Canis lupus familiaris: one gene and its partners. The protein of the gene in region 2 interacts with the protein of the main gene of each other region in a biochemical or structural test. Links are inferred from orthologs where the notes say so. Each region holds a gene or a part of one and is shown on either strand. Other genes may lie near its edges.

Evidence for each region.
Region 1: of the proteins of CHEK2 (region 2) and CDC25C, one has a biochemical effect on the other in vitro, tested with the Homo sapiens proteins (14 studies listed by BioGRID). The link is inferred for Canis lupus familiaris from reciprocal best matches to the Homo sapiens genes CHEK2 and CDC25C.
Region 3: the proteins of CHEK2 (region 2) and PPP2R5A form a complex in vitro, tested with the Homo sapiens proteins (2 studies listed by BioGRID and IntAct, with this or other methods). The link is inferred for Canis lupus familiaris from reciprocal best matches to the Homo sapiens genes CHEK2 and PPP2R5A.

Annotation. Positions count from the first base shown.
Region 1 is NC_049232.1:25,988,832-25,992,876, reverse strand, and holds the start of CDC25C (M-phase inducer phosphatase 3), read left to right. Parts: upstream 1-1,245; 5' UTR 1,246-1,263; intron 1,264-1,737; exon of another isoform or gene 1,738-1,974; 5' UTR 1,975-2,089; intron 2,090-2,192; exon of another isoform or gene 2,193-2,514; intron 2,515-2,961; exon of another isoform or gene 2,962-3,040; coding exon of another isoform or gene 3,041-3,169; intron 3,170-3,395; 5' UTR 3,396-3,477; intron 3,478-3,934; coding exon of another isoform or gene 3,935-4,045. Other genes in the region: SLBP2 (uncharacterized LOC474694), read right to left, coding at 3,041-3,169, 3,935-4,045. UniProt on the Homo sapiens protein: Functions as a dosage-dependent inducer in mitotic control. Tyrosine protein phosphatase required for progression of the cell cycle. When phosphorylated, highly effective in activating G2 cells into prophase.
Region 2 is NC_049247.1:22,471,483-22,474,982, forward strand, and holds part of CHEK2 (serine/threonine-protein kinase Chk2), read right to left. Parts: intron 2,211-3,500; coding exon 2,124-2,210; intron 1,351-2,123; coding exon 1,187-1,350; intron 994-1,186; coding exon 878-993; intron 1-877. UniProt on the Homo sapiens protein: Serine/threonine-protein kinase which is required for checkpoint-mediated cell cycle arrest, activation of DNA repair and apoptosis in response to the presence of DNA double-strand breaks.
Region 3 is NC_049228.1:10,355,155-10,359,374, forward strand, and holds the start of PPP2R5A (serine/threonine-protein phosphatase 2A 56 kDa regulatory subunit alpha isoform), read left to right. Parts: upstream 1-1,420; 5' UTR 1,421-1,435; coding exon 1,436-1,637; intron 1,638-1,792; exon of another isoform or gene 1,793-1,864; intron 1,865-4,220. UniProt on the Homo sapiens protein: The B regulatory subunit might modulate substrate selectivity and catalytic activity, and might also direct the localization of the catalytic enzyme to a particular subcellular compartment.

The DNA.
Region 1 (4,045 bases), on a different chromosome or scaffold from region 2:
CATGTGATAATATCATTAATCTGAAGAGGACAATTGGGTTTATCTATTTGGCTGGATGCCAACCTCCCTCACCTGAACACCCAGGGAAGCCCCAAACAGCTCTTCTGTGACCTTGGAGGTAGAGTACTTTCTACTTTTGCAAAAAGAGGGAATCATCTCTACCCCGTTCCACCTTGGAGAGAAGTAAGTAAAGAAAAGCAAAGAACTACGTGTTGATGTATCTGCAGTTTTTTGGAAGCTGTGGGAGAAATCAACCATCATTACAGTTAACTATCATTTTCATGCATAATTATTATTACCACCCTCAAAGAAGTTCTAGCTTCCTGAGAGCTCCCTTCAGCGGCTTCCCCTATGATCTTGTGGGAAAAGCTAAAGCTTATATCACATTGCTCTTGGTTTCTTAACTCTGCCCCCAAAAGATCAACTAGAGAGGGACCCTAACTGCAGGCTTTTACCCCAGAGATCCCAGGCCTCAGGCTCACCAGCCATGAAGAGCAGGGAGTGAAGCAAAGTCTTTCAAGCTTTTCATGAGGCATTTGGCCAAACAGCAAACTCCCAGCCCTCTCTGGGATCAAGTGAAGAGAGTGATTTTGTGTTTTTCTGCATTTTAATTGTTGGGATGTGGCCACACACGGCGGTAATTGGAACAATGCAACTACCACCACGCAACTGATACTCTCAGCCTGAGTTTCCTAAAACAGGCCAGGCTGAGAGGGGGAACAGAACGGAAGCCATAAGGAATCAAACCAGGACACAAAAGAAGGCAAACCAGCTCCGCGAGGGGCCTCCTCTTTCTCAGGCAGGCATAGAAAAAAGTGTAAGAAACCCTCTCTTGCCGCCTTCCTTCCCCTTCCATTTTGTGTATCTGAGGGGCAGAGACAGCCCTGAATGTTCACTAAACAAGTTAAAACTTCTCAGCTTAACAACTGGCACAGGGCTCAGCCCTTCACAGAGCAGCAGGCCGCTAGGCCCTCCCTACGACCCCACCAGGCCCAACTCTCAATCCAGGCTTTCCCTCCACCAACAGCCCCCTAAAATAAAGACTGGACCCCCACCCCATCTACTATTGGATGGTAGTAACCCCTGACGTTGGGGTTTCAGGGATGCTAAGGTTGTGCTGAAACCTGGAGAACCCAGGATCAAATCAAGCCAAGAGGGAGGAGAGTCACAAATCCCCTGGGGACCCTCCCCCCAGGTCCCAGCCCCACACCTCTGGGGGACACTAAAGAAAAACATGAGGGAGGCAGGGAGGTACATGAACAGGTAAGTGGGGAACTGACTGCTCTTCCTCCATATGGCTCTGGCGGGGATAGGGGTGACAAGTGGGGAGCACCCCTCCCCCCACCCCGATGAAGAAGCAAAAGGCTAGGCCCCCCTCCAGTCTTCAACCTCTCCCTCGGTTGCCCTGCCTGTCCCCGCGGGGTGGGGCATGGGGCGTCCGCTAGCCCCTAGGGGGGCACCAGGGCTCGCTCAGGGGGGCTGTCTTTCGCCTCTTCCCAATCAGCTTCCATCATCTGGCCGCGGGAAGCGAACTCAGGACGCAGGAGATGGAAAGGGTCTGGGACTTAGCACTCCACCAACCCCTCCCCCACCGGGTCCCGTGCTCTCCCCGTGGAGGCGTCCAGAGAGGCCGTGCCGCGCGCGCCGCCGGGCTGGGGGAAGGGAAAGAGGGAAGGAGGGAGGGACAGTCGAGGTGCCCGCCCCGAGGCCCCAGCGCCACCTGCCCTCGCCACCTACCGCGGCTCCTCCAGCTCCCTGGGCCGCGGCCGGAGCAGCTCTGAGCGCTCCGTTCGCCCCACGGTGCCCTTAAAAGGCGCCGGCGCGAACCAACGGGCCCCGAAGGAGAGTGGGGGAATCGCTCTGGTTCGCAGAATCGCCCTGAACCGCCCGGGGAGGCTCGAACCCCGCGTCGCTTCTCTCCCAAAATCTTTTTTGGAAAGTGCTGTCGGGAATGAGCCAAGCTCTTTGATTTAGGGATGAAGGTGGCTTCTTCACTATCGAGTCACCCCCTCCAAAATATTGCTGAAGGTGGACGGACCCAGTTGGCGGCACAGCTCCAAACCCGCGGGGGAGACCGTGTCGGACGAAGGTAAACAAAGCGATTCTCCTCGCCCTCCATTCCAACATTGGCCCTAGTACGGCCCCCTACCCGGTTCGGGCCGCGTAACAGAAATAGCCAGAGTTGCTCTTACCTGCTCTCTCCTCCCGCCCTCTACGGGCACCTCTCAGAAGGAATCCCCCTTCCGCCAGCAGAGGACCGGCCCGCGGCGTGAAGACTTCTGGGAAATGTAGTCCAAGAGCCGATCAGGGCCTGCTCTGAGTCCCGGGAGCCCCTCTTCCAGCTGCCGGATACCCTCCAACCTTATAAACCCAGGACTTGTAACGGTTGCGGGGCCGTTCCCAATTGATTCTGTAATTAGCCCTCACCCAAAACACTTTGTAAAGCTGAAAAGGGCCCAGGGCTGCTCACTCCTCCTCCTTCCTCTACGCACCCCCACCCCCCAGCAGGATGAGGTAATGGGGTTGTGATTATGACATCATAGGCGGTTCAGTTGCTTGCGGGGGTGGGCGGGGGAGGGGGGGGAGTATGGTGGTTACAGCTGGACCACTTTCCTTAAGACAGAAAGGGAGGGAGGAAGGAAACAGGCAGCTGGGTAAAAGATGTTGATAGCTTTGTATTTCCTCTTCAGGAAGAGGATGCCACCCTTTATTAAATTTCCACCACTACCATCACCTCCCACCTCAGCCAAAGTTTAAGTCTTTTTTGAGAAGCCTGAATGTAGACGTTAGTAGGGAGGAGGTTGGGGAACAGCAAAATGGTTACTGGCTCTTATGTAAATTTGAGGCTCAGCTATCAAAGAAGGTTTAGAAAAGCAGGCAGAAATGGAAAAAGAAGTTTTAAACAATGCTTTCGTGTTGTGATCTCTTTGTAGGGCAGTTTTAGATTTTTTTTTTTTTAATCCATTGGGAAGTAGCAGTAATGCAGGTAATCTTTACTGTTACACTTAGCAACACGTCCCTTGAAAGACATATGCTTTCTCTAAATATTTTGTGCCTCATTCAAATCTGGGACAGGTATGTAACTGTGATCAGCTAGAAAGTAGAACCAGTGGTGTTCTTCCTCATAGAGCCAGGGAAAGGAGTAGGCAGGAGGTACCAAGTCTGCAAACTGAAAAAGAAGAGTAGAGGCAGAGTGAGCTACTTATGAAGAAAATGGGGGTGGAAGGAAGATGCACTGCACATTTCCTTTCCTTGCACATTTCTCCTTGGCAAAAGAGGGGACAGGGGCCATGAAGTGGGGAGACCTAGTTTCCAATAATTGCTGTTGTGGAGCACTTATTATGTGCCAGGCACCGTGCTACATACTTTAATATGTATTCTTATTTTTTGCTTAGAATCATCAAATGAGACAAATCTCCCTATTTGACAGTTGAAATGGTTGGAGAGATGAAGTGATTGTCCATGTGGTGGACAAAGGTAATATTATAAAGCAGTCCTGAGGCTCTAAAGCCCTTGGTCTTCATTCCACTTGGTAATCCTTGTTTTTATTATCAACCATACTTTATTAAAGTTCAGTGACTGAGAATAAGAAGTAAAGTTAGCATTGGCTCATTTGCAAAATATTGAAATAAAAGGAGACATTAAAAAAGCCATATCAGGTTTCAAGGCCTCAATTCCAAGAAATATTGTACTCCTTTCATCAAGTATAAAATAACCCCCAATGCAGCCCAATTTCCCACCATTGTTAACTACAATTAAATGTCCTTATGCCACCTTTTTCTTAGATATTTTAATTCATGTCCTATTTTTTCTTGCTGCCCAATTTTTCTTCTTTTGTTTTTCGACTACTACCTTGAATCCCATCCTAATTGTTACCTTGTGGGCCAGACCCTACTCTAACCCTGCTCCAATGGGTTTTAGAAAAGGATACTACCTGGGCTCCCTTCTGGTCTTCATTCAGATTCACTGATGGTTCCAGGGCCTGGAACCAGTCATCCAGGAGGTCATCCGTAGGTGTGGAACCCATTGGCTCTAAGAGATGCTC
Region 2 (3,500 bases):
CAGCCCCCACCCCCACCCCACCCAGTCCTCTCACTCTGTATTCAGAGCTCTCAGAGAACACCAGGAATGACCACAATGCCCCCATCTCTCCTTGCTCACACATCACCACCTCTTCAACGCTCCCTGTCCCCTCCCTCGTTGCTGGACTCAAGTTCAAACTAATTAAATCTGAACTTCTACCTAGTTCTGAAATGCTCAGGATGCTCAGCCAACTCTCCCCGAGACCCATGGATGGACAGGGAGAGTTTCTCAGCCAGCATCAGGCTCCTCGGAACTGCAGGCTTGGCAGAAACAAAGCTTGACAGCAAGCAACAAGCGGAGGCTGGCTTTTATGTTGCAACAATATTATTCCTTTGACATTCTAAGACAACAAAATTGTTACATAACCTGACATTTAGTTTTATTTTCTACTTCTCCTTTTGAGAATTACAAAGTTATACTTTTAAATTCTAAAACACAAAGTAACTACTTAGGCTCTTACTCAAAGGAGACTTTGTAACTGAAAAGTTACTTATTATTTTGTCCACTAGTAGGTACCAGGCACTTGCTCAGGTTACACTTTCTCTCACAAAACCCCTTTAAGGTAGGGGTTTACTGTACCCCCTTTACATTCAAAGCAAGTTACTTAACCTCAGAGAGGTTAAGTAACTTGCTTAAGGTCACATAGCTAAGAAGTAGCAGACCCAAAATATGAGCCTCAGCCAGCCTGGTCCTGGAGCCCATGTTCTTAACTTTCTTTGCCCCTCAAGAGGTGCAAAACAAACAACAGAAAATAAAAATTAACAGGAGGAACACAACAGAATGTAAAAAGAAATTTCCACCACAGTACACACACTTTTTAGCAAACCACAAATTCTTAACCCTTTCATATCCATACCCTTTTCTGAGACCTCTGCCCAGACTTCAGGAATGAAGTTGAATTTTCCACTGGTGATCTGATCCTTCAAGGGCACTTGAGTCTTATGCTCAGAGAAAGGTGGGTACCCACTAAGGCTTAATATTGGTAAAGAGAAAAAGGAAAAGAAATCAAGTTATATTCTCAGTGGCATTCAGACATCTAGATTTTTCTTTAAATCAATGGTCAAAAAAAGTCACTCAAATTAAATACAAACTCTCTACCTGGACACGTTTTTGATTTCACCTAATTACCTACAACCAGACACTGAAGCAATGAAACTTTTCTTACCAAATAAAAAGAATAACTCCTAAACTCCAGCAATCCACCGCTCGGTTATATCCAGCAGTCCCAAAGGAATTAAGAACCTCAGGAGCCAGGTAGGTGGGAGTACCACATAAGGTTCTCATGAGAGAGGTCTCCCCCAAAATCTTAGACTGCCCAAAATCAGTAATCTAAAATTAAGGACAAAAGGGTACCATTTTTAATGGTGTCATAAAATAAAAAAGATTAACATAGTCTGCCAATCCTAAAGGGCATGTGGGCTAGATCAGTTCATATCCTATATGGTTCATGCCTACTATTAATCTGGAATCTATAACTTTAACACTGCAAATTAAATTTAATTTTGCTTAAATTAAAATTTCCAACCCAAGGAAGCACAAGGTTTTTTCTACAACTTATCTGTGGCTCTCCGTAACCTTACAAAAGGTTTATCCCTTATCTAACCCAGACCCCAGGGCACTAATTAGTTACCCACAGTTTTCCTTAGACCCTAGTTTCTCAACCAATCTCAACACTGGAATTCCTGAGGTGCTTGGACAAAATACTCACACCTGGGTGCCACCTTCAGCAATTCTGAGATGCAGCCTAGGTGTCATGACTTTTTTTTTTTTTTTTTTTTTAATTAATAGGAAATTCTATAGTGAAACCAAGCTTGGGAAGCATGTTGCCCTAGAAAGCAGGGGAAGAGAGTGGATAGGATTGTGTCATCCATCTAGACACCTCTTTCCTCTCTGAATAAAAGTGGTTTGTATACAGTGGAGTTCAATAAATACTCATTAGAATCTGGACCAGAGCAATACCGCCTAATCGCTAAAATGATTGCTAATAGTGGAATGGTCAAATTCTGTACCTTTTTATGTTCCCACTTTTTACTTGATAAATTTTATAAGTCTATGAACAAAAATCTACTGGAGTGGCCACATACAGAACATAAATATCTTACCTTTATAAGACAGTCCTCTTTTTGAGATGAGAGTAGAACATTCTCTGGCTTTAAGTCCCGATGTATAATGCCATTTTCATGAAGGTACTACACAGAAATGGAGGCATGACTTGGATTTACAGAGTAGGTATGTGAGTGAAGACACACAGAAAGACAAACACACATGCGCGCGCGCGCATACACACACACACATACCTTTACAGCTCAGTGAAATCATAAGCCAGGTTACTTACAATCATGTTCCCCCAAATCATAGAAAACAACTGGGTAAACGGCGTAATGTTTACAAATTTATTTTCTAGGTTTGTTTTTTATTTTTTAAAATATTTTATTTATTCATGAGAGACAGACACACACACAGGCAGAGGGAGAAGCAGGCTTCCCATGGGGAGCCAGATGTGGTACTTGATCCCAGGACCCCAGGATCACGACCTGAGCCAAAGGCAGATACTCAACCACTGAGCCACCCAGGCACCCCTGGGTTTGTCTGGTTGGTTTTGTTTGTTTGTTTGTTTTTTAAGATTTTTATTTATTTCTTCATGAGAGAGAGAGAGAGAGAGAGGCAGAGACACAGGCAGAGGGAGAAGCAGGCTCCATGCAGGGAGCCCGACATGGGACTCAATCCCAGGTCTCCAGGATCATGCCCTGGGCTGAAGGCAGGCGCCAAACCACTGAGCCACCCAGGGATCCCTGTCTGGTTTGTTTTGTTTTTTTCCTGTCTGGGTTTTTTTTTTTTTTTTTTTTTTTAAAGATTATATTTATTCATTTGAGAGAAAGAGAGAGTACTCACAAGAGAGAAGAGAGATCACAAGCAAGGGGAAGGGCAGAGGGAGAGAAAGCAGACTCCCTGCTGAGGCAGGGCACCCCGTGAAGGCCTTGATCCCAGGACCCAATGATCATAACCTGAACCAAAAGCAGATGCTTAACTGACTGAGCCACCCACGTGCCCCACAAATTTGTTTTCAAGAAAATCTTTAGGGGCACCTGGCTGGCTCAGTCAGTACAGCATTCAACTCTTGATCAGAAAAAGTGAAAAATGCCACTTATGACAGTAGACCGTTTATTTCACTCTTCAAAATAATAAATATCCCGGGATCCCTGGGTGGCGCAGCGGTTTGGCGCCTGCCTTTGGCCCAGGGCGCGATCCTGGAGACCCGGGATCGAATCCCACGTCGGGTTCCCGGTGCATGGAGCCTGCTTCTCCCTCTGCCTGTGTCTCTGCCTCTCTCTCTCTCTCTCTCACTGTGTGCCTATCATAAAAAATAATAATAATAATAATAATAAATATCCCTTCACACTGCCAGAAATACAAGGTATCAGTTTCAATAAAAATGTAAATGAGTGATAAAAGTATATTGAGATCTTATTAAAATAAGC
Region 3 (4,220 bases), on a different chromosome or scaffold from region 2:
AACTCGCCTCCTCGCCCTCCCCGGGGCCCCGTCGCCCATTAACCCCACCGCCCGCTTCCCCAACCTGACTTCTGCTCCACCCATCTTAGTGATGCAACACACCTGGCGCTCTTTCCCGCCCTAGACCTCAGACAGACCCCATCAGTCGCTTCAGTCCCTCATTGGCCAGCGGGGAGCACAGGGGAAGGGAAAGGGCCTTCCATTTTGCTCTCTGAAACTACCCACTCCGGTTCCCTGGTCTTCTCATAGGCCGTCGGGAGAGCAATGAGAGCCCGGAGCTGCCGCGCACGCGCGCGGAGGAGCCCGCCGGAGGCGGGGCACTTCCCCTTTCTAGCAGGAGCATTCATCGCGCTGTTGTGACGTAGCGGCGCGCCGCTCGCCGTCCTCACTTACGATTGGCTGTGGCAGAAGCCCGTCACACAGCCACGCCCCACTCCTCAGCCTAACCTCCCCCTTCGGAGCCCGCCCGGGAGGCCACGCCCCACCCCGGTCCCGCCGCTTAGGCCTGCGATTGGCTGAGGGAACCGGCATGGTTACCCGCCTCCTACTCCCTCCCCGAACGTCCGAGGCCGGCGGGACCCCGCGGAAGGGGTCCGTCAATCTCCTCCTTCCCCACCCCTCGCCAGCCCCTCCCCCGGCCGCGCGCACACGCACACGCACACGCACACGCGCACACTCTGCCCGCGTCCTGCCCCCTCCCCCCGCCCCTGCGTGCGCCCTCCGCCTTCTCGAGTCGTTAGCGGCCGCTCGCCGGGGCTTGTCCGTGGGCGGCGGAAGGGCGCGCGGGGGAGGGCGCTCGGACCGCGCGGCGCCGCGAGGAGCGAGCGTGCGCGCCCAGAGCCCCGCGGCGGGTCACCGCCCCGGGAGATGAGGGTCCGGCGCTGACGGGGAAGAGCGGGCACCGCGGCGGCGGCGGCTCGGAGGGGCCCCGCGATGGCAGCGCCTCGGGAGGAGGCTGCGGGCAGGGCGGGCAGCGCGGGCAGCGCGGGCAGCGGCCGCTGAGGGGCCGCCGGCCGCAGCGCGGGGCTGAGGAGGAGCGAGGCGCGCGCGGCGTCCGCACCCCCGCGCCGTCGCCGCAGTTGTCCAAACTTCGGGCTCTCTTCCACCCGCTCTCCGCGCCCGGAGTCAACAACTTCTTCACCCCCCTCCGTCCCCGCCCTCGCCTCCGTCAGCCCCGGGAGGCGGCGGCCGCGCGGCGGGGACCAGGAACCGCCGGCCCTGAGATGTGGCCGTGAGGCGGCGGCGGCGGCGGGCGGGCGGCGCGGAGAAGCTCGGCGGCGCCCGGGAGCCGGAGGGCGGCGCGGCCGCGGGGACGGGGACGGGGCGGAGGGGCGCGAGCTCCCCGCGCCTCTCCCCCCGCCTCCTCCTCCTCCTCCTGCCGCTGCCCGTTCCCTGCACGCAGCAGCCGGAGCTGCCAGGCGCCAGGGCCGCGGCGATGTCGTCGTCGTCGTCGTCGCCGCCGCCGCCGCCGCCGCCGGCGGGGGCTGCCGGCGCCGCCATCTCGGCCTCGGAGAAAGTGGACGGCTTCACCCGGAAATCGGTGCGCAAGGCGCAGAGGCAGAAGCGCTCGCAGGGCTCGTCGCAGTTCCGCAGCCAGGGCAGCCAGGCGGAGCTGCACCCCCTGCCCCAGCTCAAAGGTAACCTCCGAGGGGGCCGCCCCGGGGCGGGGGGAGCGGGAGTCGCGTCCCTCGCGTTGCCTCCCGGCGCCCGCGCCCGCGCCCGCATCCAACAGGTTTGCTCTGCAGAGTTTGCTGCAGATGCCAGCCCCCTGCCCACCTGCGCGCTCGCTCACCTGCGCCCGCGCCTGCAGCTCTGCGGCTCAGCCCCCGCCGGGCGGCTCTTCGCGCCGGCCCGGGGCGCGCGGCGCGGGGGGTGGGGGTGGGGGTGGGGGTGGGGGCTCCTCCAGCCTGCCCTGCCCTGCCCTGCCCTGCCCTGCCCTGCCCTCCGAGACCCTCCTCCGCTCTTCCGACGCTTGGCACTGCCCCTTTACTGCTTCAGTCGGCCGGGCGTCTGCGCGCACCCTCGCCTCCCCTTGCCCGCGGAGGGAGCGACCCCAGTTGTCACAGCGAGCGGGCCCTCGGTGGCCGTCCTGCCGCAGACCGCGACGGGGAGTCGGCTGCCCGGCACACCCGCTCCTGAAGAACGGGCGTGAAAACCCCACTCGTTCGTGCAGCGCCTTATTTGCTGGGTCGTTTAGGTTCACGTGGTATCGTTAACTCCGAGAGTGGAAAGACTCCGAATACTTCGTTGCCGGGGAAGATATAGACATAGATACACACACGTACACGGTAAAGTTGGGGAAGTTGCAAAAGAGTCCATAAATCCAGTCGCTTTGCAGCGGATTGGGAACTTGGTTCGCGAAGCAGGGATTCCAGGGGACCGCGTAGGTCTGGACAGTGATTCAGATTCGTGCCCGCGCGCAGGGCTTTGCAGGAGAGCTTGGCGCTCCTCGGCGCGCGCGTACTTTTCCCACAAGGGCTCAGGGGACTTTTAATAAAATGTTTCCCGGTGGTCTGGTTTATTCTTGGTGCGTTATTCTCTTTACATTTTGTAGTGTTCGTGTCTTCGCTTCTCTGTGAGAGAGAGAAATTCGCTCGGAACGAGAGGATAACCCTCCTAGATATTTCAGACAACTCTTAGCACAAAAGAAACCTGATAGAAATCTAGATCCTCTGTTTTGCGAGGCCTGGAAATTAAAGGCTCATGCTAAAATAGAATCGGCGGTGAGATTTTTCGATCCGTTTCGCCTCCTTCAAGGATAATCTGGTTCTGATTTGTCTTTGGACCTCGCCTGAGTCTGGCTAGGAGTCTAAAGAAAACCCCAGATCGAATCACAGTTGACCTGCGATAGATCTGGAACCCCGTTCAGACCCTATACTGCCCTGTCTTTTGGGGGTGCTTCTAAATCAGGGACCTCCACAGCCAGAATCCAACTAGCTTTTGAAAGGTTTTATTGAAGAAACGTGTAGCGTAACGTGTGTGGCTGCATTTATCGTTTGCCATGCAGCATGCAAAAATGGTTAAAATTTACATATCATAGTCCTTGGTAAACCACAGTGGTAGGCATTGCCAAGATTTTAATTCTTGAGTGATATCATAGCTATAAAAGAATATCGTCTTACCTGTTAGGACATTGGATTGCTATTCATGGATTTCAGTTGTAAACTTAATTAAAACGTTTTTAAGTCATTGATTTTTTCCCATTAAATTGTGGAATTTCTCATAATCGGAAGTTTGCTGCTAGTGTTTTTCATATTTATTAAATTTGCTTTTTTAGTAAGGTATTGTGGGTCCTTACTATTGTCCTTATTAATGCATTTACTTTTATTTAATAAAAATAGTTGCATATTAAACATGGTTAGGAGATGGAGTTTTAATGCAGTTTTTAAAAGCTTGACAAAAATATGCAGAGCCAGTAATCCTTTTAAATTATATGGTGCATAGTTCAACAAGTTGAAGGTGCCATTGAGTTTTTGTTTTTTTTTGTTTTTTTTTTTTTTTACAGTATTTGGTCACTAGTGGAGAAAAAATAAAATTGGAACTTTAGATTAATTCTGCATATTTAACATGAAAATACAGTGTTCTTTAAAAGGAAAGTTCAGGTATTCGAGGTAAATTTATGCAAATATAATTGTGGAAATAAGACCCTTACTGGGATTACCCACTAATAAGAGCTACTTATACTCCAAATGCCAAAAGGCTTGAAAAGTGCTTTTAAAAAAAAAAAATCCAGTTTCTTCACATGGTACTTGGCAGTGTGCTTGATACCACAAAGTTGTGTGCTTTTTTCTGTCTGTAGTAGTTTTTTCCATTTGTGGTCTTAACAAAAACCAGTGGAAAACCCTTTAGTATGTGTATGAAAGAGAATTTTTCTTCCTGCTCTGAAATATAATCTTCCTGTGGAGAGATTCAGATATTTGTGGGCAACCAAGATCTTTCAAGTGTTTATACTAACCTGCTTATGTTACACTTTGTCCACATGGATCTAAGCTGGAAAGGTGCCAGCTATTTTCCTCAAAGCTTACTATGGGTAAGGATTAACAAAATAATCCAACTTTTTCATCTATAAGAAGTTTATTTGTGCAAAATCATTTACCAAGTAGGTTGCAGGATTTTAATAGGGAAAATGTTCAGAGAAAACTATTTTGTTATAGAAAGTTTTTAATAAAAAAGCCTTGTTAAAAGGATTTTTTAAAAAATTAGGACCTGCCATGTGGGTC